Coturnix japonica: one gene and its partners. The protein of the gene in region 1 purifies or fractionates together with the protein of each later gene. This does not show direct contact. Links are inferred from orthologs where the notes say so. Each region holds a gene or a part of one and is shown in the gene's direction. Other genes may lie near its edges. The genes, in order: SF3A1, SNRPA1, PHF5A, DNAJC8, PLRG1, RBM17 and PRPF8.

Evidence for each region.
Region 2: the proteins of SF3A1 (region 1) and SNRPA1 purify together in Homo sapiens (affinity purification with mass spectrometry; 6 studies listed by BioGRID and IntAct, counting the BioPlex papers as one, with this or other methods). This does not show direct contact. The link is inferred for Coturnix japonica from reciprocal best matches to the Homo sapiens genes SF3A1 and SNRPA1.
Region 3: the proteins of SF3A1 (region 1) and PHF5A purify together in Homo sapiens (affinity purification with mass spectrometry; 3 studies listed by BioGRID and IntAct, with this or other methods). This does not show direct contact. The link is inferred for Coturnix japonica from reciprocal best matches to the Homo sapiens genes SF3A1 and PHF5A.
Region 4: the proteins of SF3A1 (region 1) and DNAJC8 purify together in Homo sapiens (affinity purification with mass spectrometry; 4 studies listed by BioGRID and IntAct, with this or other methods). This does not show direct contact. The link is inferred for Coturnix japonica from reciprocal best matches to the Homo sapiens genes SF3A1 and DNAJC8.
Region 5: the proteins of SF3A1 (region 1) and PLRG1 fractionate together in Homo sapiens (co-fractionation; 3 studies listed by BioGRID and IntAct, with this or other methods). This does not show direct contact. The link is inferred for Coturnix japonica from reciprocal best matches to the Homo sapiens genes SF3A1 and PLRG1.
Region 6: the proteins of SF3A1 (region 1) and RBM17 purify together in Homo sapiens (affinity purification with mass spectrometry; 4 studies listed by BioGRID and IntAct, counting the BioPlex papers as one, with this or other methods). This does not show direct contact. The link is inferred for Coturnix japonica from reciprocal best matches to the Homo sapiens genes SF3A1 and RBM17.
Region 7: the proteins of SF3A1 (region 1) and PRPF8 purify together in Homo sapiens (affinity purification with mass spectrometry; 4 studies listed by BioGRID and IntAct, with this or other methods). This does not show direct contact. The link is inferred for Coturnix japonica from reciprocal best matches to the Homo sapiens genes SF3A1 and PRPF8.

Annotation. Positions count from the first base shown.
Region 1 is NC_029530.1:9,656,315-9,660,305, forward strand, and holds the start of SF3A1 (splicing factor 3A subunit 1), read left to right. Parts: upstream 1-1,191; 5' UTR 1,192-1,280; coding exon 1,281-1,346; intron 1,347-3,149; coding exon 3,150-3,262; intron 3,263-3,991. Other genes in the region: coiled-coil domain-containing protein 157-like, read right to left, coding at 558-809. UniProt on the Homo sapiens protein: Component of the 17S U2 SnRNP complex of the spliceosome, a large ribonucleoprotein complex that removes introns from transcribed pre-mRNAs.
Region 2 is NC_029525.1:15,973,711-15,977,815, reverse strand, and holds the start of SNRPA1 (U2 small nuclear ribonucleoprotein A'), read left to right. Parts: upstream 1-1,305; 5' UTR 1,306-1,404; coding exon 1,405-1,486; intron 1,487-1,709; coding exon 1,710-1,857; intron 1,858-2,576; coding exon 2,577-2,655; intron 2,656-2,802; coding exon 2,803-2,849; intron 2,850-2,947; coding exon 2,948-3,050; intron 3,051-3,558; coding exon 3,559-3,638; intron 3,639-4,105. UniProt on the Homo sapiens protein: Involved in pre-mRNA splicing as component of the spliceosome. Associated with sn-RNP U2, where it contributes to the binding of stem loop IV of U2 snRNA.
Region 3 is NC_029516.1:45,263,379-45,267,330, forward strand, and holds the start of PHF5A (PHD finger-like domain-containing protein 5A), read left to right. Parts: upstream 1-1,152; 5' UTR 1,153-1,309; coding exon 1,310-1,361; intron 1,362-1,477; exon of another isoform or gene 1,478-1,572; coding exon of another isoform or gene 1,573-1,624; intron 1,625-1,719; coding exon 1,720-1,743; intron 1,744-2,779; coding exon 2,780-2,946; intron 2,947-3,952. Other genes in the region: ACO2 (aconitate hydratase, mitochondrial), read right to left, coding at 950-985.
Region 4 is NC_029538.1:1,423,203-1,427,235, reverse strand, and holds the start of DNAJC8 (dnaJ homolog subfamily C member 8), read left to right. Parts: upstream 1-1,233; 5' UTR 1,234-1,321; coding exon 1,322-1,390; intron 1,391-2,449; coding exon 2,450-2,551; intron 2,552-3,747; coding exon 3,748-3,804; intron 3,805-4,033. UniProt on the Homo sapiens protein: Suppresses polyglutamine (polyQ) aggregation of ATXN3 in neuronal cells.
Region 5 is NC_029519.1:18,056,570-18,060,690, reverse strand, and holds the start of PLRG1 (pleiotropic regulator 1), read left to right. Parts: upstream 1-1,321; 5' UTR 1,322-1,350; coding exon 1,351-1,434; intron 1,435-2,598; coding exon 2,599-2,705; intron 2,706-3,248; coding exon 3,249-3,391; intron 3,392-3,615; coding exon 3,616-3,669; intron 3,670-3,776; coding exon 3,777-3,870; intron 3,871-4,121. UniProt on the Homo sapiens protein: Involved in pre-mRNA splicing as component of the spliceosome. Component of the PRP19-CDC5L complex that forms an integral part of the spliceosome and is required for activating pre-mRNA splicing.
Region 6 is NC_029516.1:3,132,081-3,134,330, forward strand, and holds the end of RBM17 (splicing factor 45), read left to right. Parts: intron 1-80; coding exon 81-153; intron 154-287; coding exon 288-391; 3' UTR 392-1,750; downstream 1,751-2,250. UniProt on the Homo sapiens protein: Splice factor that binds to the single-stranded 3'AG at the exon/intron border and promotes its utilization in the second catalytic step. Involved in the regulation of alternative splicing and the utilization of cryptic splice sites.
Region 7 is NC_029534.1:4,156,542-4,160,772, reverse strand, and holds the start of PRPF8 (pre-mRNA-processing-splicing factor 8), read left to right. Parts: upstream 1-1,431; 5' UTR 1,432-1,550; intron 1,551-2,139; 5' UTR 2,140-2,149; coding exon 2,150-2,249; intron 2,250-2,328; coding exon 2,329-2,497; intron 2,498-3,078; coding exon 3,079-3,243; intron 3,244-3,344; coding exon 3,345-3,563; intron 3,564-4,143; coding exon 4,144-4,231. UniProt on the Homo sapiens protein: Plays a role in pre-mRNA splicing as core component of precatalytic, catalytic and postcatalytic spliceosomal complexes, both of the predominant U2-type spliceosome and the minor U12-type spliceosome.

The DNA of each region.
Region 1 (3,991 bases):
AAAGCTTGAGTTGGAAGGGACCCCCACAGTCAGTAAAAGCTGGTGGACAAAAGAACTGAGCACAGCCCCGACAAAAAGGACCTGGGGGTACTGGTGGATGGCAGCTGGACATGAGCCAGCACTGTGCCCTCACAGCCTGAAAAGCCAACTGTATCCTGGGCTGCATCCAAAGCAGTGCAGCCAGCAGGGTGATGGAGGGGATCTGCCCCTCTGCTTTGTGAGACCTCACCTGGAGTGTTGCATCCAGATGGGGAGTGCTCAGTGCAGGAGAGACACAGAGCTGTTGGAGCATAGCCAGAGGAGGGTCAGAAAAAGGGACTGAGACACTCGAGACCAGGCTGGACAGGGCTCTGAGCACCCTGATGTAGCTGTGGGTGTCTCTGTTCGCTGTGGGGGAGTTGGACCAGATGGCCTATCAATGATTTTGTGATTCTTTGACCTCAAAGACCACCCAGTTCCAACCCGCTGCCCAAAGCACTTGGCAGCATCACACATCTTCTCTCCGTGGGGAAGGAGCTGCTGTGCCCCTGCTGCTCTTTGCAGGGTGCTGTGCCCGCTCACCTGTCTATCACCAGCTCCAGCAGCACCACATGCGCATGCTGGCTGAACTCAGGATCCCCCTCGGCGTGACTGTACCGCTCCAGCAGCGCCAGCAGGTCCAGCTCACAGGACACTTTGTTGGGGAACTTCCAGGATGGGAATCGTGCAGGGCCGGTGCGGGAGGTGACGTCGGCGATGGCTCCTTGCAGGTCCCTCAGGTCGGCCTGCAGGCTCGCCATGCAGCCGGGGTGGCCCAGGAGGTGAGCCATGGGTGGACAGACAGACGGACAGATGGATGGACCAGCGCTGGGAACGGATGGTGGGTGACACCAAAGGGCTGCCAGCAGGATGGAGGGGACAGGCGCTGCGTCCCCAAGGCTGTATGATTTGGGGTGAGGGGTGTCTAGGCAGCGGCCTGCAGGGAGCTGCGGGAGGCGAACAGCAGCGCTGTGTGCGCTGAGGGCGCTGGGACGCCGGGACGGTCCCACCGGCTGCAGGTGATGCTGGAGGCGGCCGCCTGGGACTAGGCCGCGGCGCCGCACCCGCTGCCATGGCAACGCCCCGCCCGCACGAGCGGAACCACCCTCTGCGCATGCGCTCCTCCCCTCTGCGCCTCCTTCCTGTCGCGACGTTGAGCGTCACTTCCGGCGCGCATGCGCAGTTCGAGGTGCCTGTCCGCCATTTTGTCAGCGTCTCGGCGCCTTCTTTGCGGCCTTGTCTGAGCGGTCTGTTGTATCGCCATGCCGGCTGGGCCTGTGCAGGCCGGGCCTCCGGCGCAGCCAGCGCCGCCTGCAGAGAGCAAACCGGTAGGAACCGCGGCATGGAGGCTTCGGGCCTGTGGGCGGGATTTAGCGAGGGCTGCATGGCCGATACGGGGCTGGGTGACCGGCCACCCCGGGGTTTAATGCCTGTGACGGGGTGCGGCCCCATGTGAATGTACCGTCGCGTTGTTATGGTGGAGTTAACGAGGGAGCGCAGCGTTGTGGTCGTTTAAAAGCAGCGCTTAATGGTGGTGTTACACCGCCCTTCCATCTGCTGCTTGGAGGAAGTGGGGGTGAATGCTCCAAGGGGTTGTTGTGTCTTTCTTTTAACGTCTTTTATAGATCTTTAAGGTTGGGAAAAGCCGCAAAGATCCCCATGTCCGACCCCAGCCGGCCTCCACCGTGCACACTGCCCACGTCCCTTAGTGCCACAGCTCCATCATCCTGGGGCACCTCCAGGGATGCTGACCCCCCCCTTTGCTCTCTGTGCAGCCTTTGGCACTGCATCACCGCTTTGTGGAGAACAACTATTTCCAAATCTCCAATGTTTTGGGTGTTTTTGTTTTGTCTGGCAGGCTTTTAGTTACCATCAAGATGTCCCCTGTATCTGTGCTGTGAGGGAAGGGAGGCACCGTCAGCATCCTACAGAGAACTGCAGCTGGCTGTGCTGGGAGGCAGAGCTGCCCTTGGGGTGATTGCTGGGGCTGTGGTGCAGGTCCTCCCACAACCACAGGGAGGAAAACACTCAGCTGAGCTCTTCTCAGCTCTAAAAAAAGCTTTAAAGCCCTAGTAGGATGGGATGCTATGTGTTATTTACTGTTGGCTTGATCGTTTAGATTCCCATTTCTGGTAGCCCTGCAGACCGTTAGGAATCATAGAATCATTAAGTTTAGAAGAGAGCTCTAAGATCATGTAGTCCAGCTGTCACCCCATCCCCTCTATACCCACTGACCACTTCCCTCTGTGCCACATCCACATGTTTCTTGAAAGCTTCCATGGTCAGTGACTCCAGCACTTCGTGGGCAGCCTGTGCCAGTGCAGCACTGCTCCTTCCGAAAAGAAATATCTATGAATATCCAACCTGCAATGCTTGTAACTTCCAGAGCTGTCCAGCAATACTGAATTCTTCCTGGGTGTGGTGTTATAGGCATGCTTTGCTACATCTTGGCTCAACATCTATAAACTTCCACTGGGTTGAGGCTGAAAGAGCAGAAACACTGGGAAGAGTTGTTTGGTTCCCATGGGATGGCCTTCCTGCTTGTCTCACTCGCAGCAGCCCCCGCAGCAGGTGCCCTTGGCAGGCTGACAAACACCATCTCCTCGCCTGGGAAGCTGCTGAGTGCTGCTGCTTTGCAGGACTACAGGTTCAGATTGTTAAACTATATCTTCGTGCCACGAAAATGTCATGGTCTGAGGAGAACAGGCAGTTCTGTCTGCTGCAGGAGTTGCTGTTTGAAATGCTTAATTCTTCCAGAGCACTCCTTCAGCATGGTATTTCAGAACAGCTTTTTAAGGTACCATAGGACTGTTACTCAAGGTACAGAAACTGAAAGAGAAAGGGAAGTGAATTTTACAACTCAACTCACTAAAAATAAACACAATCAAAGTTTGGACACTACCAGGCTGTGTTTGCACACTCTGATGCTGATGTATGATGTGATATTCGAGATCATTTGTAGCTCCTTTGCTTGTTACCATGTTAGATTTAGGCTGTTTGAATTTACTATCTTGACTAGTGGCAAATACTGCAGAGTGAAATGTGTCTTCCAGAGATGGTGGTTCAGGAATGTTTTTGCTACTTAGGAGGTAGCAATACATAAGACTGTAAGAAAAATGTTTTTCTTGCAGCCAGAAGAGGAGCCAAAAGAGGAAGCAGCACCAGCCAAACCTGTGGTGGGAATTATTTATCCTCCTCCCGAGGTCAGGAATATTGTTGACAAGACTGCCAGCTTCGTAGCCAGGTAAACAGCAGTGGTGTTGTCTTGTCTTTCATGGGAATTTTCTGCCTCTCACCTTCCAGTGCTACTGTCTGTGTGTCTCCAGAAGCTGAAACAAATCACAGTCCCACAGCGTTCCCTGGAGGTTTCTAAGGATTGAATTTTTATCAGTGAGATTGTAGAATAGAGGCAGCAATTGTCTCCTTGGAGATTTAATATGTGCTTTGCTAGAAAAGCTGTGGTAGTAAATAAATTCTTTTTAAAATGACCTGGAGGGCAAACAAAATTGCAGGTGGAAAGGAAGCCTTGTTTGTTACTAGCACTTATTGAATGACTAAGCCAACAGGAGTCATTCATTTATTTTTACTCTACTTTACATTGTGTGGGCAATTACCTCTCCTTTAGGGTACACTAGGTTCCTTGTTGGACCCTGAGGCTCAGTCCCATCCCTGTTCACCTACAACTTCATGAAGTGTGCCAGCACCTGGGGCACTCTGACTCAGCTGTCTCTTCCCTTCTATAGCCAAGGGGATAGAAGTGCATGTTCCCAGGGAGAGGTCTGGGGTAGGTGAACTGCCCATGATGTGCATGGCATATTTATCCTAGTTTAGTGCAGCAGGTTGATTATCACAAGTATAGATGTCACAGTTAGGGGAGAAGCCTGGAAGTTTAATACATCTTTATTCATTTGGGCTTTTTCCTCCTGTTACCAACATGAAAACATAAACTGCTGGTGTTAGCCAGGCCATCTTA
Region 2 (4,105 bases), on another chromosome or scaffold:
GCTCTGGGATCCCCCTGTTGTTCTCGGGCCAAACCAGAGGTCAGAAATGGGGCGAAATGCTTCTGGCTTCTGCCACTTTGCTCATCAAATAACAAACTTCCATTGCTGTTGTCATGTCCCAGTCCCAGCCGGGAGCACCGTGTCAGCTCTGGCACTCAGCTCTGCCGTGGTATATTTAGATGCACTGAAATGCTGAATTTACCCTTATCCTTGGCACAAACTATGAAAGCACAGCCTGGCTGAGGTAGTGCAATTGAAGATGACCAATCCCCAGCAGTCTGTGCTTTCTGCTGCCTTCCAGCCCACAGGGAAAGAGAAACAAATCCTCCGTGTCGAGTTCATACAACGACATCAGCTCCCAGTGTTTCCCAGGGCTCCGACTCCCTCAGAAATCATTCCTGGAAAGCAATAACATTCAGATTATTTATCTAAGCTATTGCTTGGAGCTATTAAAGCCTCTCAGCCGCTGGTATGCACAGAGGATCAAAGTGTGCCTCTACCAGATAAACGAATACAATTTATTAAAGCACATTTCTTCATTGTCTCTTGGCACCAACAACTCAACTCTAACAGCTGGATCTTAGTGCAGCCTGAAGCCCCGCTCGCAGTTTGGCTGTGAGGCTGCATCCACAGCAATCTTAAAAACCACCACTTGGACTTTCCAGTACAAAGGAGCTTTCCAGAGCTCGTGTACAGCATCTGAAACCAAGAACTGCTCTGTTACAACCCCATTACAACCCCTAGAGCTGAGCAATACAGTGTGTTGTGCTATAGGAGGAAGGTCCGCATTCAGGTGGCTCTGAGACGCCTCCAGCTGTGTTGGGCTGTGCACAGGGAAGCAGTTCCCTCTGCTGACCGAAGTGCTGCAGCGCTTCAACTGCGACCACACCAGAATTGGGCACAAGGACAACTTTTATTTATTTATTTTTTATTTATTTAAATTGGCTCTTATTTACAATGATGCACTGGCACGGGTTGCCAAGACAAGCGATGGATGCTCCCCTCTACAACACCCAGCGCTGTCCCTTCTAACCCAACCACGCTGTGATTCCATGATTCTGATTTCTATGCGCTTTCCTTCCAGCTCGACAGCTCAGAAAAGCCACCTCTATACAGCCCCTCCCGGCCGCCATTTTGTGGAGGAGGGGCTGCAAGAGGACGGCCCTCTTCCTCTCGGCTATGCTCGGCTGTGTTCGGCTGTGTTCGGCTGTGCTCGGCTGTGTTCGGCTGTGTTCGGCTGTGTTCGGCTATGTTCGGCTGTGTTCGGTTGTACTCGGCTGTATTCGGCTGTGTTCGGCTGTTCTCGGCTGTACTCGGCTGTTCTCGGCTGTACTCGGCTGTGTTCGGCCTCGCTCGGCCGTGCGGCGCGTTGTGGGCTCGGTGCGGCCTGTGTGTCCGGGCGGGATGGTGAAGCTGACGGCGGAGCTGATCGAGCAGGCGGCTCAATACACCAACGCCGTGCGAGACCGAGAGCTCGACCTGCGGGGTGAGATGGATCTGCCGGGAGGGAGCCGGGCCTGGCTTTGTGGGGGGGGATCGGGAGCGGGCCTGTGTGGGGCCTGCGCTGAGGGGAGGCGTGGGGCCTGCACTGGGAACGGGCCGTGCAATGGGGGGGGTCGTTCTGTGTGTTAAATGCCTCTTTCATGTGTCCCCAGAGCTCCATCCCATCCTGCTTTATTCCCTTCTCACGTTTCTTTTCCCCCCCACAGGGTATAAAATCCCCGTCATTGAGAATTTAGGGGCTACGTTGGATCAGTTCGATGCGATTGATTTCTCGGATAATGAGATTCGGAAATTGGATGGGTTCCCTCTGTTGAGAAGGTTGAAAACTCTTCTGATGAATAACAACAGGATTTGGTACGTGGTTGTGTTGTGATCAGTGTTGTGATCAGACGGGACCTGGGGCAGAGCAGAGTGAAGAAGGGAAAAGAAGCGTGCCCGTGTCTTTTAATACCTGATAGGTGTAAAAATATCTGCTTTATGGGGAAGAAATAGCGCTTGGTATTTGCTTCAGCCTTCAATTAGCCGGCTTTGTTCATTGCAAAGTTCTGCCCCAGCTCTGTGTTCCATTTTCATACAGGACAATGAGATGCAGGGCCTGGAGTTTGTGTTGGGTCCTTGGGGGTTGTTCACTACCCCCATAGTGATGCACAGACAGGGGTGCCTGCAGCTGAGTGAACAGAGCTACCTTGCTGCACCTGGTGCCCTTACAGTGGCAGCTGCTGTTTTATGTTGGCTTTGTTACAAAGCTGATGCTCACCCAAACTTCTGCTGCTGTCATACTTGGCTGTGTTTAAGTGAGGTGCTCTATGTTGGCATGGCTGCCCAGGGAGGTGGTTGGAGTTGCTGTCTCTGTAGGTGTTCCAGAGCCATGGAGAGGGGACAGAGGTGGCCCAAAATGCTTTCAGCTGTGTTGGCCACAGACAGGTTTATTGGGCATGGTGGGGATGGGCTGAATGATCTCTGAGATCTCTCCAGCCTTAATGATTCCGTGATTTTTAATATATCTGTGTCTGTGTCCACCATTGTTAATTTCCAGCCAAAGGTAAAATCTTTGTGTTTTTATTCTTCTGTAGTCGGATTGGGGAAGGACTTGAACAAGCTCTGCCCAGTCTCACAGAGCTGGTTCTTACCAACAACAACATTTCTGAACTGGTAAGTTAGTGATGCAGAATAAATCTTGACAGCTCTAATGTTTTTGTCCTCTTTCTAATTAGTCGTCTTCTTCAGGAGCTTCATTCTGAAATATTTGATTGTCGTGAAATGGATTTAAGATTCTTACTCTGTTCTTCCATTATATAGGGTGAACTGGATCCATTATCAAGTATTAAAACATTGACTTACCTGAGGTGGGTAATCTTGAAAAGAAAAGCAGCGGCTTGTTGTGATATATTTCAATATATTCAATACATGAAGTAACTCTTTGTGACCTTTATTTGCCTCGTAGCATTTTAAGGAACCCAGTAACAAATAAGAAGCATTACAGATTATATGTTATCTACAAAGTTCCCCAAGTCAGAGTGCTGGATTTTCAGAAAGTGAAACTCAAAGTAAGTCTGTTACCTTCGGATTGAACACCAGATGGAGACCTTTTCTCCTATTAACTCATAGAACTGTAGTGAAATCAGTAAAGCTTTTTGCCCCAGCTGTAAATGGCAGTGGAACAGTTTGTCCTATGAGGCTTTAAAGCTGGTGCTTCTCTTTGATGGTTTCACGCCGTTAAGGATGTAATCTGCTTTATTGTTTTTAATTGATGTTTCACTGCTGTTGTTTGTTTAGTCTGATTCTTTTCTGGCTGGCCGGTGTTGGTGGTGATAAGGGGAACGTAGAGAAAGGAATGAGGGATCAGAGCAGAGCCCTCTGCTTGGGGCTGTTGCTTCTAAGAGCACTGAAGTGCTACACCTCGAGTTGGAGTGTTTGTGCAATGTGTTTGTGCTTGTCCTGGGCTCCTCATGCTGATGTTCACTGAAGATGAGCCAAAGCATCTTTCTTTGCAAAGAGCAGCTCTGCGAAATGCTACATCCTTCCATTAACTTTGTATGTGTGGTATCGCTGTAGGAGCGACAGGAGGCAGAGAAAATGTTCAAGGGCAAACGGGGTGCACAGCTTGCAAAGGATATTGCCAGGAGATCAAAAACGTAAGATAAAACAAACGCTTGCACTGGCGTTCTCCTTCAGAAACACCACGTTGTGTGCGGCACCGAACTGAGACGGCCCTGGTTGTTTGGATGGTGGTGAACACATCTGAGATCTTTATGGTAGACCCGTTTGGTCAGGGTGGATCGGGATATAGCAGTAAACAGGGAACTCTGTGTTATTTTACTGCAGAGAGGGGGCTGTGGTTTGCTTGGTTTTGCTCTCTATAGTGACTGGGAACTGAAAAATCTATTGATCACATTGAGGGTGCTCAGTGAGTGCTTAGAACTGTTATCAAATGTGCTCTCGCTGTGGTTAATGAGTGGAAATGGCCCATGTCTGTGATGGCTTTTGAACAAGTGAATCAATGAATCAAACACCCAGTTCACATCCCAAATACACGCAGGACAGGGCGCAGGTCTGTGAAGCTGGGTCACATTTAGGCAGCTCTTTCAAGCTGTGACTTCCA
Region 3 (3,952 bases), on another chromosome or scaffold:
TGGCAAGCTTGGTATTACGCCCACTGCCTTCTTCACAAAGTGCTTTCAAAGCACCTCACTCAACGATCCTTCACGTGTCCCTTCCAAGCTGAGCTATTCTGTGACTCTCTGATAAGGTTATTGCTGCAGCTCCCTGGGTAGAGGGAACACCCTCCCCAAGGTCACAGCTGGCAAATGGAGCAGTCCGAGCTCTCAGCTTCACCATGTGGCACGTACTGAGGGCAGCACAGCAAGCAGCACTACATGAGAAAATGGCATTCTACTGCCTTCTAGGCTTTAAAAAACAATCAAGTGTTTATTAGTGAGTAGATAGTAAACGGGATAATGCCCTTAGTACTGTAGTGCCCGTGATGGGCACAAGCAGACGTGGGTTTTAGAGGTCACAATGGAGAAGACTGGGAGAGTCATTATGAAGGTAGATTCAAGCCATTTGGAAAATAAAATAATAATAATAAAAAGATAATTGATGTGGCCGCCTGGCCTTGCACGGCCCCTTTAACAAACAGATCTAGGAACTCCCATCCACATGAAAGGCCGCAGTCCTGGAGCCGGGCAGCCAAGGGCACAGGCTGCTAACGGCACGAGATGAGGAGGAGCCCGCGGAAGGAGGAAGCACGGCCCCAGGCGCGATATCTCGGCCTACCCGGGCGCGGTCACCTTGCGCTCACCTTGAGGCTCAGCGGTGCCCGGAGGCGGCGGGACCCGCCCGACACCGAGGCCCATCAGGCGGCCGAGCCGCCTCCGCCGGTGCGGCCCCGCCATCGCCATGGAAACGGGCGTCGGGCCGCGCCGGGGACGCGCTGACCTACACGCGCAGACAGCGGAGACCCGGCCCCACGCCTCCGCCCGCCGCCCCGCGCTCCCTCTGCCCTCCGTCCAGGATTGCAGCGGCCCTCACCCCACCGCCCAGCCCGGCCTCGCCCGGCCCCGCCCGTCCCGCGGCGCTCACCCGCAGCCGAGCCGCCAGGACGCAGTACGGCGCCATTTTGTGCACTGACAAAGATGAAGTCGCGCCCCGATGGCGTCAGTCCGCCCTTTTGATACCTCTGGCGCGGGAGGAGGCTGAAGGGGGCGGGGTCCAGCGGGTCCTGGCAGGGAGGTACCGGAGGAGAGAGCGGCGTTCCCATGGCGGGGGTACGGGCGTTCCCCGCGTTGAAGGGAGCAGCGAGGCGGATTGGGTTTGAAGCACCATGCGGAGCTCGGTTACGGGTCGGTGTCCCCTCCCGGAGCGCCGCTTTGTCGGACGCTCTCCACACCCCTGACAGGACCGGGACACGGCGGCAGAGCACCGAGAAGTGTCGCCGGCGCCATGGCCAAGCACCATCCGGATCTCATCTTCTGCCGCAAGCAGGCGGGCGTCGGTGAGTACCGGCGCGGTCGTGGCCCTCCGCACCTTGACGGTGGGCTCGGGCGGCAGTTCGAGCCCGTTAGGTGCCCGTTAGGTGCCCGTCAGGCCCCTCGCGCAGCTCCTCGTTCTTCCCTCGGCCCTCTGAGCTCGGGGTTCGTGGCGCTCCCCGAGGCCGCAGGGATGTGGTTGGGGATCGCGATGCGGCGCTGAGTGCGGGTTTCCTTATGGCCGGTGGGAGCCGTTGGCCGGACACCGTGCGGAGGGACTGTGGGCCGGGTGGGTGTGCCCTGAGGACAGGCGTCGCTTGTATTTGCGTTCTAAATGTAGCCTCAAGTAATATGTGTTTTTTCGCATTCTTTTTCCCCTTACAGCAATTGGAAGGCTTTGTGAGAAATGTAAGTACATCTTCTGCGTGTAGTTGTTTGAGAACCCAACTCTGTGGTAAGTGCCTGCAGCTCGGTTTCTCTTTTTGCTCTGCTGCTGACTTGGGGTCACAACCAAATAGAAATAGCAGGTAACTGCAGCTTGGGCTGGGAGGAGTGACCTGTGTGTTGGCCTGAGTGTATGGAGCAAGTGCGAGAAAAAGACCGCACAGCTTCCCTTCAGCATCTGTTAGAATGGGAAATGGATGGAAAAAAGTGCTACAGCAGATGAATATGCAAAAACAAATATCTATGCAACCTACTGCAAGGAACCTGCTTTGGCCAAAGTGTTGGACTTGATTCCTGGAGATCCCTTCCAACCCCTATAATTCTGTGCTCGTGCTCACCTATAGCAGAAAAGAATAAGCACAATTGGTCATTAGATCCTTGCAGGAGCTCAGTACAAGTAAGCCAGCTATTTCTAGGCTCCAAAAAATGTTAAAAACAAGCGAAGTGAGGAGAAGCACAGTCTGAAGCAACTGAACTGTTTTCAGAAGTACACAGAAGTTAAATGGATTCCCAGTGGTAGTAGCTGAGGGCAGTTGGGACTGAGATTGAAGAGCAGGTTAAATGAGCTGTTTGTGAGAGTCAGGATTAAATACCTTGGGAACTGGTAATAAGATCTGAAGCCTTTCATCTGGAGGTCAGAGTTTTGGATCGGGGCCCGCAGAGCAGAGACTGTCCATGGCATCTGATGGCTGTTTGCCTGTATGATAAGAGCACTTGTATTTCTCTCAGTCCCTTGTGAGAAAGCAAGAGCAACTCTGTGAAGTGGCAATTTATGCCGGTTTGCCCTTTTTTTGGCCTTGGATATGGCTGGCTGTTGGCCCTCGTTCCTCTGAAGTCTGTGTAAATATAAAGTTGCACCTTGTGCCTGTAAGCTAAAGTTCTGCAGTCTAACTGCGTTGTCTTTGAGCATACAGGCAAGTTCTTTGTCCAGCAGACTTTTCCTCTTTTATGTGGGGTGGAGAAAAGGACGTTCTGTAACCAAAGACTGCTGTACTTGCAGGTGATGGCAAATGTGTGATCTGTGACTCGTACGTGCGGCCCTGCACCCTGGTGCGCATATGTGATGAGTGTAACTACGGCTCGTACCAAGGGCGCTGCGTCATCTGCGGGGGCCCAGGGGTGTCTGATGCCTACTACTGCAAGGAGTGCACCATCCAGGAAAAAGATGTACGTTGTCATCCAGTCTCCTGTAGAATTGCTTATGTCTTTGTTTAATAGCTATGCTTATCTTTAAAGGGACTTAGAGCAAGTGATATTAATGTTAGGACATTGGATGCTTGGGTTCCTCTCCCAGAACTGGCACTGGTTTTCATTTCCTTGCATGTTTCTTTTTCTGTCGGTGGTTCCCAGTGTTTGTGGAGCACTTTGAGGTAGCGAGCAGTGCCTCGATTCTGTATCCCATAGGATCCTTGTGTGCTTTACGATGCATACTCACAGTTCACTTCCTCCACGCTCTGCTTGTTACCACTTTCAGCTGTTATCTTACTAAATCTCTCAGCCAAAGTTTTATCAGCAGCAGAGACACTTTAGACGTTGCAAAGGCAGTGGCAGGATCAGCTTCTTACTGTGTCCGTGATCATACCATACATGGTATGATCATGCCACTGGCATATATGGTACCATAAGGCCTACAGAATCACCACCCATGTTTACTTTTGTGTTACAGTAAAATTAGCCCTTAGTGTCCTTCGTCCTTTGACAAGGCAGATGCTCGCTCTCTAGGTATTCAATAATATCCATCATAGTGAGGGCAAGTCATGAAGAACTGCCAATGAAGTAGTAGAAAGACTGTAGGGAAATGCAAGAACGTGATGCTTGCGGTTGCAGTGTGTCAGAGTATGGACCCAATGGAGAGTATCGGCTGTGTGGTTTTGGGGCTGGATCCTTTGCAAACACCATCTCCAGCACACCCTGATGTCAGCAGAGTGTGCTGACAAACAGCTCTGATTTAGAGGAATGTACTTAGCTGACTGAGCTGCTGCTTTAATTTTCTGCAGCACCCATATTTTCTCTAGAGGTCTTGCAGGGCAAGCCCGTGTCTGAATTTAGTCAGTAGATCTGGCGGGAGCACCATCTTTCTTAGTATCTAAGTATTATATGTGGATAGAAATGCTGTTGGTGGTACTGCCTTCTACATCTAGAAGTGCTGTGACAAGCAGTAGTTTTGTTGTCT
Region 4 (4,033 bases), on another chromosome or scaffold:
ACATGTGGATAACTTTGGCCAAAGCACACAGTCTGCACGGCTGTCTTACACCGCACATAAACACCACCCAGCTTAGTCATCATCCTTCAGCTCCTTGATCTTGTGCTTGTGGCGCTCGATCTCCTTCTGCAGCCTCTGGATCTCCTTCTTGTGGTGATCGATCTCCTCCTCGTGGTGTTTCCTTAAGGCTGCCAGCTGCTCCCGCTCCTTCTCCCTATAACAGAGCACAACGCGGGGTGGGCCCCGCACACACCGGGGTCCCGCAGCGGGGCAGGGCTCAGAGCTCAGCCCCCCCTCACAGAATCACAGAATGACTCGGGTTGGAACGGACCTCAAGGATCATGTAGTTCCAACCCCCCTGCCTGGCAGGGCCACCAAACATACACCTTTACTAGATCAGGTTGCACAGGAGACCCCATAGATCCCCATAGAGACCTCACAGACCCCCACAGAGACCCCATAGATCCCCACAGAGACACCATAGACCCCATATTGAGACCCATAATCAAGTGCCATGGCCCGTCAAACCTGGCATCCTACAACCTCCTGTGCATGTCCTGTCCAGGCCCTAACCACTCTCCTTAGTCAAACTTCCCCCTAACATCCACCTAAAATTCCCCTTTTACCTCAAACCATTTTCCCGTGTTGCTATATCAGTCCCTTTCCAAGATTACTCCCCTCCTGGCAGTAAGTTCCTCACGGTACTGAAAGCTGGCAATGAGTCATCGCCAACCTCTCTTCTCCCAGGCTGAACAAACCCAACCCCTCAGCCTGTCTCTATTGAGGTGCTCCACCCCTGATCATCTCCTGTCACTCCTCTTGGACCCTTATCCATAACTCCACTGTCTATTTTACTCGATGCTTCACACCCGTGTCACCACTGAGTACGCTCCTCTCTGCGCCTGCCTTTTACCGATACGCTCTTCCGCTCACGGATAGAGCCCGCACCTCGCCATCGGCTCCTTGCCCAGCTCCCGAGTTGCATTAACAAGGCGTGAGTCTCCTCACCTTGCTCAGGGGTCCGTCACCCCACCGTTCACACCTTGCCCGCACTCAAACCTGCGGATCCGAGCTCTGCACGCCGCTGCTTGTTTGCTGACCATGATGCTCATCTCAGGCCGCCGCAGCGGCACAGGCGCCATGTCGCCTGCCCTGACACCGGGATCCGCGCGGTGACGCGGCCCGCCACCTCGCAATGTCCGCGCTTCCTCCGCCCTCTGCAGCGTTACCACGCGTCGCCCGCGATCAACGTGACTGGCAGGCGCCTTCTTGGTGTCGTTGTCGCGCTGGCGCATGCGCACAACGTCACGCGGTGCTGGCGATGGCGGCTCCTGAGGAGCGCGGGGCGGGGGGCGCCGCCGAGGAGGCGTTCCTCACCTTCTACAGCGAGGTAACGGCGGCGGGGGGGCTGCGAGCCCGGCCCCGCTATACCGACATCAGTCTGTCCCCTTACGCTAAAACGCGGCCTAACATGGGGGTGCGGCCTGGCGGGCGGAGCGGAGCCTGTGTGGGGGCGGGAGGGGGCGGCCCGAGAACTGCGGTTGTGTGGGGATGTGAGCGGCACGATGGGCTCCGCTGTGGGCTTGCTCTGTGCTGCTCTATGCTGGGCTCTGTTCTGCTCTATCTCTCTGTGTGCTCTATTTGCTCTCGTTTCTCTCTAATGTTGCTCTGTGCTGCTCTATGTTGCTCTGTGCTGCTCTATGTTGCTCTGTGCTGCTCTATGTTGCTCTGTGCTGCTCTATGTTGCTCTGTGCTGCTCTGTGCTGTTCTCTGCTCTGTTCTCCTCCCGCTGGATCCCCGCAGCTCCTTTGCTCTGTGTGCTCTGCTGTCAGCTCCCAGCTCAGCCCGTTGTTCCTGTGTGGGAGCTGGAGGGGGATGACCCCACTTTTTCTCTGTGCATCCCTCAGGTTGCTTAATTGAGCACTGTTCAGTGAACATCTACGTATTCCTTTCCCTAATGATGAATAGTGATTGACAGTCCGGTCTTTGGTTTGGGTTTACAGCGAGAGGATGGGGAAGTAAATTGCGCTGACTGGATAAAAATGGTCAGAGTGAAACGTATTTGCTTGCTTACAGTGATGTGATGGCATCCAATGGGCTCTCCTGGCAGTGCTGGGTTAAAAGCAGCTTTGCAGCTGGTATCCAAGGTATCAGGATGACGGCACTGGGAAAGTGTAGGAGTGAAGTGAGGGCAAAAAGGCTCCGTTGCTGAGCAAGACGTGGAAGACAAAGACAGAAATGTTTTCTGGGTTTCTTTTATAGCTAAAAGATGATGCTGACGGTGCTGTTACACTGTGTCCTGCTAATGTTGAGTTACTACAGGCTTGAGATGAGCAAGAGGTGTTGTGAGTTATAGCACCGAATGATAACAATTGGTGTAGCCATCACATAGGAAAGCAGGTAAATATGTTGTTATGGTTGGTTAATGAGAGCGTCTTTTGTTCTGCAGGTGAAGCAAATTGAAAAACGAGATTCTGTTCTAACATCAAAAAACCAAATTGACCGGCTGACCCGACCTGGATCTTCCTATTTCAACTTGAATCCTTTTGAGGTTGGTCTGATCGTGTTCTCCTGTCTGACATAGCACATCCCATTCTAGATTTACTGAGTATTTCTTAATGGAAAGAGGCCAGAATCAGAAAGGTACCGAATTCTAACCATGGATTACAGTGCAGGAGACAGGAGGATGATCTATATGTGCTTGTTTTCTTTATGGCAGGATGAAATTGTTGTTGCCATGCTTCTCTTGTTTAACAGCACTGGCAGAGTAATGCTAACTGCTTTGTGAATGATAACATAACAGGTGGCACGCTGTCAGGTTCCCTTCTGACCACTGTGGTCTTAGGGTTTCTGATTGTCCTTTATTTTGGGTGTTCATCCCACTGAACTTCTGTTCATAGAAGGATAGAGAGACTCACTTGTTATAGCAGAGAGTAATCCTGGAGGAGTCACTGGGAACTGCATAACTCCATTGCATGATGTATTGTGTTGTTCCAGTTGCAGTTAAAATCTTACAAGGAAAACACTGAAGGGAATACATTGTGATGTTCTGGGTATTCGTACAATCACAGATTGGCTTGGGTTGGAAGGGACCTTAAAAGCCCACTCAGTTCCAACCCTCTGCCATGGTGAAACTATTGCAATAGGTGACTTGCAAACTAAGGTACAGCATCATCCACAGGGGTCCAGAAGCAGAGTGCAGCCGGTATTGAAGGAGTCCATTAAATGGTACAGAGACTGGAGTGAAGTGCAGACCCTGCAGCCAAGTTCTGTGATCCATAGTGGTTCCCTGGGCAACGTGAGATGTTGGCAGCATCAGGAGAACCTGACAATACTGACTCCTAGAAAGAGCAGTGTTGGAATGGGGACTTGAGCTGTGAATTCATAACTATGGAAGTTCTGTGACCAGACTTAAAGCACTGGGTTGGGCATTGCTCAGAATCTATGTTCAGCTGTTCCCAGCCTCTCTGATATCTAAAGACAAACAGAAATGCAATGGAGTTTATTTTCTGCCAAATTACATTGGCACACTGAAAGAAACATAGCACTGCTAAAAATACAGTGTCCCAAACATGGTGTCCCTTAAAACGTTTCCATTTTACTAGGTGAAAACTCATATCCTGAAGCAGCTCCCATTGGGGTGAGCTTTCTGATGTGCCTGTATGCTGATGAACCAAGTTTTCAGAGCTTGCCCACCTTGAAACGTGGGGCATACAGTTGAATTTGCTCTGTTGTTGTCTTTTTTAGGTTCTGCAGATGGATCCTGAAGCTACAGATGAAGAAATAAAGAAAAGGTTCCGACAGGTATTTGACTTTTGCATTTGAAGCTTCTGAAATGAAACAAGAAGCTCTGCAGAGATTGTGCAGCTGTGCTTGGGAATGGGGAAAGCAGTGGAAAAGCTGTGTCTGGGTAGAGACAAGCAGCTGTTTTGTGAAGAAATGTGTAGAACAATCTTTGTATCTGTGAGGGGAAAGCTGGTCTGTGCATGGTTTGCTGCTTTGTAACATGAGTGACTGAGCCAATGTGAACTGA
Region 5 (4,121 bases), on another chromosome or scaffold:
TGAATGAACCACATGCCCATTGTGCCAAGACTGGTGTGCGGATTTGGGTTGAAGAAGCATCTGTCCTAGAAGGAGCCGTGTCTGTACCACAAGGCTTTTTCCTGAAGAGGCTTTTCAGCAAAGCTCCACCTGCATGGGGACATGACTTACACTGGCGAGAAATGCTTCTAGCATGAGTCAGAATCTGGAACTGCAGGGGGAGCAAGGTATATTGGAAAACATACATGAATATAACAAATATTTGGGGAGCAGGACCTAATCTCCATTAGTTGGCTTGCTGGGTGTGAGATGGGACTTTTCTTTGATGCTTGCAACTGTTACAGCTAGGCTGACACTGTATAACGACTGGATAAAGCCTTATGAACAACCAAGAACATGGCTTAATCTTCTTCTTAAAACGGTGTCAAGGAGGCTTTGTCTCCAAACAGAACATCTTTCTTCGTTGTGTTTTCTTCACTTCCTCCCCAGCTCACATGGTTAATGAGAAACTCTTCCTGAACTCACGTAGTGTTGATAATGCAACAAATCTGCTATGAAGAACTGCGAAAAGAAAGCATTGACCTGATGGTATTCCGGTATCTCTTTGTAGCATTCCGAAATGGTATTCCAGAACATCTCTTTGTACACTGCTTTTGTCCTGGAGAGCTACTTACTGGCAGAGGTGTATGTGTGTGTTTTTAGGAATGAATTTTCATGTGCCGCCTCTTGTGTTTGCTTTGCCAAATCATCTGCCCATGGTGCAACACTCTTTACACAAACCCCATCCTTGTATGTTGGCTCCTTTAGGCTGAACACATCACAGAGGTAATTTGGGCCAAGGGGGAATAGAGCCATCTTGGGCCACTGATAAGCTGTGCCAGTAAATGTGATTTTGAAAGGAATCCAGTTGTTGGCAGCTGATTTAGAAACGTCCTTGGAAGCCGCTGGCGTTGTACATGTCACACTGTGACAGGGTTACTGTAGAATTAGATGTTCAATTAGATGTAAACGTTTGGGGGGGGGGGGGTCTTTAAAAAAAGAGTGTAATTACAGGCCTCTGTAAAATCTAAGGATGCTGTAATAAGTAGCACATGTAAGTGAAGTTTTCTTACAAAACACAGATCTTTCTTTTCTCGGATTGCTACAAAGGTCTCTATTTCAAGGAGGTTTTCCTTTCAAGATGCACTAAAAACGAGCCCGATTCACTCAGCAGACGACAGCACGCAAAGTGCCGAGACTGTAAGTTCAAAACAAAACAAACCAACATATTATTATTAAAACAAACCAAGAACAAAACGCCAGTGCAACACCGCACCCTGGCGTTGCAAGCTCCTCAATGCAGCCCGGCGCACCCGATTTGCGTCACTTCCTATGAGGTATAGAGCAGGAGCCGGACGTGTCTCCATCGCTGTCGGTGGGGAGCGGGGAGCGGGGAGCGACGGCGCCATGGTGGAGGTGAGGGCGGTTCAGTTCTTGTGTTACTGAGTGTTGTTGGTAGGAGCACAGAAGATGCTGTGCAGTTCTCCTACGTAACAGTTCTTTTACTGGGTGTCATCACTGTCCAGAGATATCTATAGTTGTTCACCTCCTGTTGTGGAGGTATTGAGTTACCTATTGCTTTTATTGCGACAAGCAGACATTTGCTACTGTAATTCCTGTTTCTTTTTGCAGTTGCATGGAATTTCTAGTTCCCAAGCCCTATTATAGATGTTCTTTATTTGATATCTAGATTTTACAGGACCGTCCTGAGCTAAAAGTTTTGTGTGGGCCCTACTGAGTTAGGGGAGTATGAAGTGTGGCAGAATGGGGCAATGAGTGGGTAAGCAGAGTCCAGGGCAGGAAAGCAGAGCTTAGTGGAGGAAGCCCCAGCTTAATGGAGTGTGGAGGCTGGGCAGCTGAATGGTAACTAGAGCCCGAAGTTCTTAATGCTTCCACTCTGTGTTGCTCCTATTTGTGACATACAGAGCGAGCACAAAGAGGCTCATACTCTGATTATCACATCTCTAATTATTTATTTATTGTGCCTTGAGAGGAAGGTAGGAATTAAAACCTGAATTGCGCGGTCCTAAACAAATATTCTATATAAGCTAATAGCTTTAAGTTCTACTATTTTGGCCCTGACTGAGATATTAACAATTATTAGCTTTTAGTAATGTGTAATTTCAAAAGGACAAGAGGCTTTGTCTTATTTGATCCCAGGATTACTTCTTATAGTAAACATCACTGTTCTTACATAGGGTGACACTGTGCAGAAACTGATGTTCATTTTTATGGAGGTAGTGCAATAAAGGAATGTTTTCAGAATCAGGTACTTTATTGTTTAGGTATAAAAGCATCTAGAAAACATGGAAGATAAACGTATTCATGTATTTTTAGATGATAGTGCAAATTTTTTCTGGCTTGTCATTTCTGAGAAACTGGGTTTTACTTTGAGCAGGCATTGAATTAAAACAACTAATAGATATACTTGAATCTGTAGTTTCTAAGAGGAGCAGTGTTTGATGGGAATAGTGTTGTATCATATGCAAGTCTGAAATTGCTACTCAGTTTCTTTTTCAGATTTCAGTTTTTCATTTAAACGTGGCTAAATTTATTTAAATATGCTTTCCTTTATTTTAGGAAGTCCAGAAGCACTCTGTGCACACACTTGTGTTCAGATCTTTGAAGAGAACCCATGATATGTTTGTAGCTGATAATGCCAAACCTGTACCATTAGATGATGAAAGGTGAGTGCTGTGGCTGAGTTTTACTTTGTTAGCAATTGTTCTATAGAATCATAGAATCACCAAGGTTGGAAAAGACCTAAAAGATCATCTAGTCCAACCGTTCACATTACTATTAGCTCCCGCTAAGCCAACACAACATCCAGTCGTTCCTTGAACACCCGCAGGGTCGGTGTCTCCACCACCTCCCTGGGCAGCCCATTCCAGTGCCTGACCACCCTTTCTGAGAAGTAGTAGTTCCTAATGTCCAGCCTGAATATCCCCTGCCACAGTTTGAAACCATTCATCTAGTCCTATCACTAATGACAAGAAAGAAGAGGCCAACCCCCAGCTCACTACAACCTCCCTTCAGGAAGTTATAGAGAACAATCCTATCCAAATCAGGAGTTTGGGTGTTCAGTACAATTAGCAGTTAAGGGAACTGAAAAGCATGAAGATTGTAATGTTAGCTGTATGAAAGGTTTCCTGTTTTTTAAAATATTTCAAAACTTAGTAGCAGTTCAAAAATCAGGATTTAATCAGGATTATGCTCTGTTCTTCCAACAGCCACAAAGTAAAGATGGCAGTCAAGCTGCGTACTGAGTACGGCTCAGTATTGCACATGCCTACTCTTAAAGAAAACATGAGAGAGAAAGGAGGCCCAGCCACTGGGGATCCATATGGACATAAACAGTATTCCGGAAATGAAGGTTTGTTATTCCTAGTACCATGTTTGTTCTTTGTTTTCACAAGGAAACAGTAGGAGACTTAATTCATTAGTAAAACAAGCAAGTTTTAAGGTAATGCTAGTGTGTGCTATATTTGGGTATTAGAGAGCTAATAAGGGTTGAGGATGTTGTCAAATTGAGGATGCTTTGCACCACCTACTCTGTTGTACTGTTTTGTTTGAATGCGTTATTTTGTTGGTCTTTAGGAGAAGAACTGGAGTATGTGATAACTGGCACACATCCATATCCACCTGGGCCTGGTAAGTAAAATTCTGTGTTTAAATCAGGTATTTCAGAGTTAAACTGAGATTTTTTTTTTAATTATTTTTTTAATTTTTTAATTTAATTTTGTTTTTTTTTTTTTAAGGTGTGGCTCTGACAGCAGACACTAAGATCCAGAGGATGCCGAGTGAATCTGCAGCTCAGTCCTTAGCAGTATCTCTTCCTGCTTCTCAGTCCAGGTACTGCTTTATTACTTCATTAACATTTGCATAATCTACAAGAACTACAAGTCAAAACAAAGTACTTTGAATATTCAGCTTTATAAAATACCTGAAAACCTGATCTAATGGTTTGCAACCTTGCCCATGGCAGGGGGGTTGGAACTAGATGACCTTTAAGATCCCCTCCAACTTAAGCCATTCTGTGATATGATTTTAAGTTGGTCAGATATCATCTTGGTGTATGCAGTGTTCTTTCTTGGCTGTCATTA
Region 6 (2,250 bases), on another chromosome or scaffold:
AGTGCTGCGTGATGCAGTGGTTTTGTTACTGTTCTAATCAGACCTGCTGGGGTTTGTTTTGTTTTTGGGTTTTCTTTCAGATTCCTGGTGCCCCTGATGATGAAGCTGTAAGAATATTTTTGGAATTTGAACGGGTTGAGTCTGCAATTAAAGGTAGGTTATTAAACTGTGTCATATGAATTTCAGAGTTCATTTCTTCAAAGAGATTAAACAGTCTCGCTCATTGGACTCAGATTTTTAGTCGCTGATTTGCTGCTTGCTGACCTCTTTTTTTGTTGCAATTATAGCTGTTGTGGATCTAAATGGAAGATACTTTGGCGGCCGAGTGGTGAAGGCTTGTTTCTACAACCTGGACAAGTTCAGAGTACTGGATCTGGCAGAGCAAGTTTGATTTTAAAAATCTAGCTCGAGGTGTCACTGTTTTGGCAATCATGTTTTCAGCAGTAGGCTGGGAAAAAAGAAGAGAAAGTAGCTTTCCTAGCAGACTGGAAACAAGCCTCATTGAATGGATTTTTCGCATTCGTTGTGACTTCATTTTTTTGTAATATAAAGCCCTTTGAAATTAAGATTCATGTCTGTTGTGTTTTTGAATTGCACAATTCTGCTTATTGCTCTGGGAATCCTTGGTTTTTTGAACTTTTCATCCCTTGACTTCAATTATTTTGCAAACCCACTGCTGAGGAAATGCTTTGTCTGTATCCTTGTTTTCCTTGTTCTGGTGCTTCTTCACAGTTTTCCTGTGCAGCATCCACTGTAAGTGGGAAGCTTTGGAAAAGGACTGTGTGCTATTATGCTTCTCTTTCCTGATATTTCCCTTGCTGGTCAGTCCTCCATCTCTGCACACCAGAGTGATTTGGAGTCGTTGGACAGTTGGCAACTAGTTTGTTCTTTCCTGACTTTAGCACAATATTTTCTATGCCAGAATGGAGACTAAAGTAAAAGGGAGTGAGTTTGTGTTTCTTCCCAAGTCCAAAGAAAACACATTTAAATTGAGGGAAATGGAATAAGAAAGGAAATAAAAAAGGCTCAGGCATTTGAATCAGAATGAGTGGACTGTTAGCAGATGCTCTGCACTGTCAGACAGTCTTTGCTAGCAGCCTTAACTGATTGCAGGTAGTTATTGAAATGCTGTTTATAGAACTGAGAGAAACTTTCATCTGGCCAGCTATCAGATTCTCAATTCTTCTAACGTAGGTAACTAACTTTTAATTGATTTACACCTAAGAAGAATGCAGTGGAAGAAAATGCTCATAGAAAAGTATGAAGAAATGACAAACTAAACTTCTAAACACTGCAGCTCTTTGCAATCTGGTGTAAAATAGTATGTAGCATTCTCCTCCTGGTTTCGTGTTCACCTTTTGTTTGGGAACCGTATGTGACAGAGGTGGCAAGAGAAGGCTGTGCAGTGATGGTGGCTGTGTGCTCCATTGCATTTACAATTCCCACTGAAGTTGTGTGGGCATTAAAATGGAAGGGAGCTTTGAGGGCATTTTAGCTGTTCAAAAGCTGGATGTCTTTTTCCTGTTATACACATGTATTTGGGGGAGGGGATATAGATCTGTAGTTGATCAATGCTGTGAGTATCTCCAGTTCTTGCCTTTTTTATTAAGTTTTGGCTGCAGATCCATATGACAGACCCTTCGTCTTGTTTCTTGCTTATTTTGTCTGCTTGTGTTCCAGCAACCCCTGTACAAACATTTGCCTGTAAAAGAGAAAACAATTTTTTGTAAAAAAAAACCCTTGTATTTTACCTACCGTGTGTCAGCTTCCTTAATGTCCTCTTCTTTTACACAAGGCCTTCCCTCCAAGGTGTTGGCAGTGGCTGTAATCCACCATTAGAAGATCCTCAGTGCAGCAAAGGTGAAGAACCAACCTGACTAATGCTAAAACCACAGGTCTCGGGGCCATAACAGAATTCAGATTCTATTACCTCTGCTGTTAGTTTTTCTGTTTGACCTTGAGCAATATACTTTAAAGCCTTTTCTACTATGTAGTAAAATGAAGAAATTAGCCTAATAGCAATTAGCATATATTTGCTTACAGGAGTTAAACAATTTGAATGTCATGCTGGTAATCCATTTATTGTGATGTGAACATAAATTGAAATAGGAGAATAGGCTTTTATTTCAGCAAATACTGCTGTTCTGAATGAGTAGCTGTTAAAACTTCCTGAGTTTACAGACTTATTCTTCTAACTGGCTTTTCTGCCTTTTTAAGCTGTCACACCAACTTCTGAGCTTCCAGTTTAAT
Region 7 (4,231 bases), on another chromosome or scaffold:
TGTGGGAAGTGAGGATGGCTATTTCAGTGTTGCTTGGACTTGTGGCTGTGGATCCTGGGCAGAGGAGGTGCTAGTGGATCAGACACTGGGGGCTCTGCTCTCCAGCACCTATGGATGATGTGGTTGAACAACCAGGAGCTGCTCAGAGAAGCCCTGAAGGCTCTGGCAGCCCTGAGAAGGGAGCAGGGAGAATTGTTTCCCCTTTGCTTTTCTGGACGTGCAAACACTACTGTGTGTTTCTAACCTCTTAGGTGCTGCACCCTGCAGGGTCCTATTGCCTAAGGGACTCTGTTCTACCTCTGGCACTTCCCATGGGACAGCACCAGGCATCTCCAAGGCTTTGCCCTTCAGTCCAGGGCTGGTTAAAGCCAAATCCTGCACCTATAATTCCTCACAGAGGAGACTGTGCCAGGTGAGAGATGAAGGTTTGGACCTGTCCTTATCAGATGCTGCTGGCACTGGACTAGGGACAGTGGGAGCTTCAGTGCCATCCTTGGGGACAGGCTGCTAACTTCAGACAACTGGAACTTTTCTAGTGTTATTTTGTTCCCAGATCTATTAACTCCCTATAAGTGAGTGTGGGAGCACGTGAGCTGCAGGTCAGGATGATGGTGTGTGATAGTTGCTTCCTGTGAATGGGATGTTTCACATGGGTTAGATATGGGCATCTATGAGGAACCAGAAGTCTTGGTGTAACGCTCTCAAGCAGCAGCAGCAGCTCTTACTAACACAGGCTTTCAATAAACAGCAAACAAATCAGCTCAAGGCTTTAAAGGGAAAGGACTTTTTACACCCAATTTGCTTTTGAAGGCTGTGGAGCTGCTGGGGGTGCCTCTATCAGCAGCTCTGTGCCCACACAGCCACTGCTGCTCAAGGCTGCCATTGTCACCACGTTCCTGCTGTCACACCATTGCCACACACTGGGGACGTTGTTCTGAGCCCTAAGGGATGTCTCACAGTGCTGGCTCCATACAGCCTGCTGTATAGGAACACATTGTGGGTATGGCTTGTGTGTCCAAACTGAAGGATACAGGGCCCAGCTTTGGGATGGGAACCTGTGGGGACAGAGATGGGGCCTCTCTCTCTCTCTCACAAGGGATACCCATGTACAAAGGGGAGGCTGCCTGAGGAAACCCCCATACAGCCATATCTGCCCCTTAGGGCCCATAGCTGGGACAGCCATATCTGCCCCTTAGGCCTCTTAGGCCCCATAGCTACGGTATCTGATTGTCCAATCAGAGCCGGCGTCGAGCTGTCACCGCTATCCCTCTCCACCAATCAAAATCGGCAGAGGGCGGGACCGGAAATGAATAGGCATTCAACCGGTAGTGTACTCTAAACACAGCTTCCTTTCCTCTTCCGCACTTGATCCCGCCTCCTGCCCTCCCCGCGCTCTGATTGGCTATCCCCGCTGTCTGTGAGGCTGCCCCGAAAGCTGATTGGACGAGCCTTCTAGCCGCGCACCCCACCCACATCCGGGTCTCTCAGGCGCGGTGGTGGTGGGCTGCGCCGCCATTGTGGTGCGGGAGTGCGGGACGTCGCAGCGACCGGTGTGTGCGGGGGGGGCCGGGCCGCGGGGATGTGGAAGGGACCGGGAGGGGGGAGGAGGGAGCCGTGATCCCGGTTTGAGCCCCTTGTTCCTCAAATCTCTATGGAGATTTTGGGCAGGGTCCAGAGGAGGGACAGGAAGATGATCAGGGGGCTGGAGCACCTCCCCTATGAGGACAGGCTGAGGGAGTTGGGTTTGTTCAGCCTGGAGAAGAGAAGGTTGCGGGGTGACCTCATTGCAGCCTTTCAATACCTGAAGGGAACCTGTAACCAGGAGGGGAGTAAACTCTTGGAAAGGGCTGACAGTAGCAGGACACGGGGAAATGGTTTGAAGTTAAAAGAGGGAAGATTTAGGTTGGATGTCAGGGGGAAGTTCTTCACTAGGAGAGTGGTGAGGCCCTGGAACAGGCTGCACAGGGAGGTTGTGGATGCCCCGTCCTTGGAGGTGTTCAAGGCCAGGTTGGACGGGGCCATGGGCAACCTGATCTAGTAAAGGTGTATGTTTGGTGGCCCTGCCAGGCAGGGGGTTGGAACTACATGATCCTTGAGGTCCCTTCCAACCCGGGTCATTCTGTGATTCCTCCTCCACAGGTGTGTCGTCATGGCCGCCGTCTTCCCGTACCGCGGCGGCTGCGCGCCGGTACCGACCCCGATGGCCCCGCTACCTGACTACATGTCTGAGGAGAAGCTGCAGGAGAAAGGTGAGTACGGCCTGGATCCATCGCACCGCGCCCAACGGGACCGGCCTCACCTCATCCCGTTACTTCTGTGTCCCCGCAGCCCGCAAGTGGCAGCAGCTGCAGGCCAAGCGCTATGCCGAGAAGAGGAAATTCGGCTTCGTGGACGCTCAGAAGGAGGACATGCCCCCCGAGCACGTCAGGAAGATCATCCGCGATCACGGCGATATGACCAACAGGAAGTTCCGCCACGATAAACGGGTCTATCTGGGGTACGGAGCTCCCCATGAGGAGCGGTGCCTTCAGAATGGGGCTCTGGGGACAGCTGAGCTCAGACAGCAGCATCACAGCACAAGGGTGGCAGTGGGGTGCAGGAGAGGATGAGATGATGAAGTGTTTGCTTGGAGTTCTTAAGGCAAAATATCATTTAGAAGAGGTTTTGGGGGGAGATTGTGACCTAATCAGCCTTTTTTCCCTGTGATTAAAGTGTCGTGTGGGTGTCTCTGTGTTGTTTGTGCTCAGAGAACTGTCTTGTGTAAAGCAGGGTCTGTTGCGTTCATGTAGTTACCCATAAAAACTCATTCGGTGTTTTTTAGTATTATTATTACTGAATGTTTTTAATGCATAGCAATCTCTCTGAAGCCAACCAGTAGGAAAAGCCTTTTGGTAGTGGAATCTGAAGCAGAAGGATAGTTAAGAAGGCTTGTGGGTTCATCACAGAAGGCCTTTATGTGCAGGTTAGCTGAGCAGTTTTATGAGTGGGAGGTATACAGGTAACTGAACTTGCTGCAGACAGGTAATTGTTCTCTGGCGATGCCTTCCAGCTGTAATTTTCCCTGATTTCTGGTTGTAGTGCTTTGAAGTACATGCCTCACGCTGTTCTGAAGCTCTTGGAGAACATGCCTATGCCCTGGGAGCAAATCAGAGATGTTCCAGTCCTGTATCACATCACAGGAGCCATCTCTTTTGTCAATGAGATTCCCTGGGTTATAGAACCAGTGTACATTGCACAATGGGGGTAAGTGCTTTTTACTTAACTCTGGGGGGACACAATGAGTGAATAACCACACATCCACAATAAAGGCAGCATGTAATGTAATGGTCTCTGGTTTCTGCCAGGTCCATGTGGATTATGATGAGGCGAGAGAAGAGGGACAGACGTCACTTCAAGAGAATGAGATTTCCCCCATTTGATGATGAAGAACCTCCTCTGGATTATGCTGATAACATTCTCGATGTGGAGCCTTTGGAAGCAATTCAGCTTGAGCTGGATCCGGAGGAAGATGCCCCAGTACTGGACTGGTTCTACGACCACCAGCCACTGAAAGACAACAGGAAGTATGTGCCTGCCTGGTAACACAATTCACTGTGGGGCTTTAAGAAAATAAGCACTAAAATCTTCATGCACTACATAAATTAAATGTATGTAAAAGTGCATAACTTTTGCTTATATAATATTGGTCTATGCATGGTGTTGGTGGGATGAGAAAACCTTCTTTCAAGGATAGGAGGGAGAATCTGACTGCTGTAGTCATCCCTCTGTCTTCAGTGCTGAGGGAAGGCAATCAATCCCTCTCTGTCCAGGCAGGTTACTGCATGGGTAACTGGTAAAACTGATGTTTCTTGACACATGATAAGAGTGAAAACCTGGATCATCTAGCTTTTATTTGAGTTTATTAAATATACAGTGCGTTTACAAACTGGAGGCTCTTGAATCTTGTCAGTTTGATAATGGAGATGGAGGGGAACTGGCAGATGTAGTCCATGGAGATCTTCAACAAGCCTGTACATTTTATTTTTCTGCCTGGAGAGGGACAAGAGTTATCTATCCTTCGTATTTTCTGCAAATAGCAGAAAGGTAGAAGACCAGTTGTTTTGTGGCTGCAAAATTAGTGTCCTATGCTTTGTTTCTCTGCAGGTATGTGAATGGTTCTACCTACCAGCGCTGGCAGTTCACTCTGCCTATGATGTCCACGCTGTATCGACTGGCTAATCAGCTGCTCACT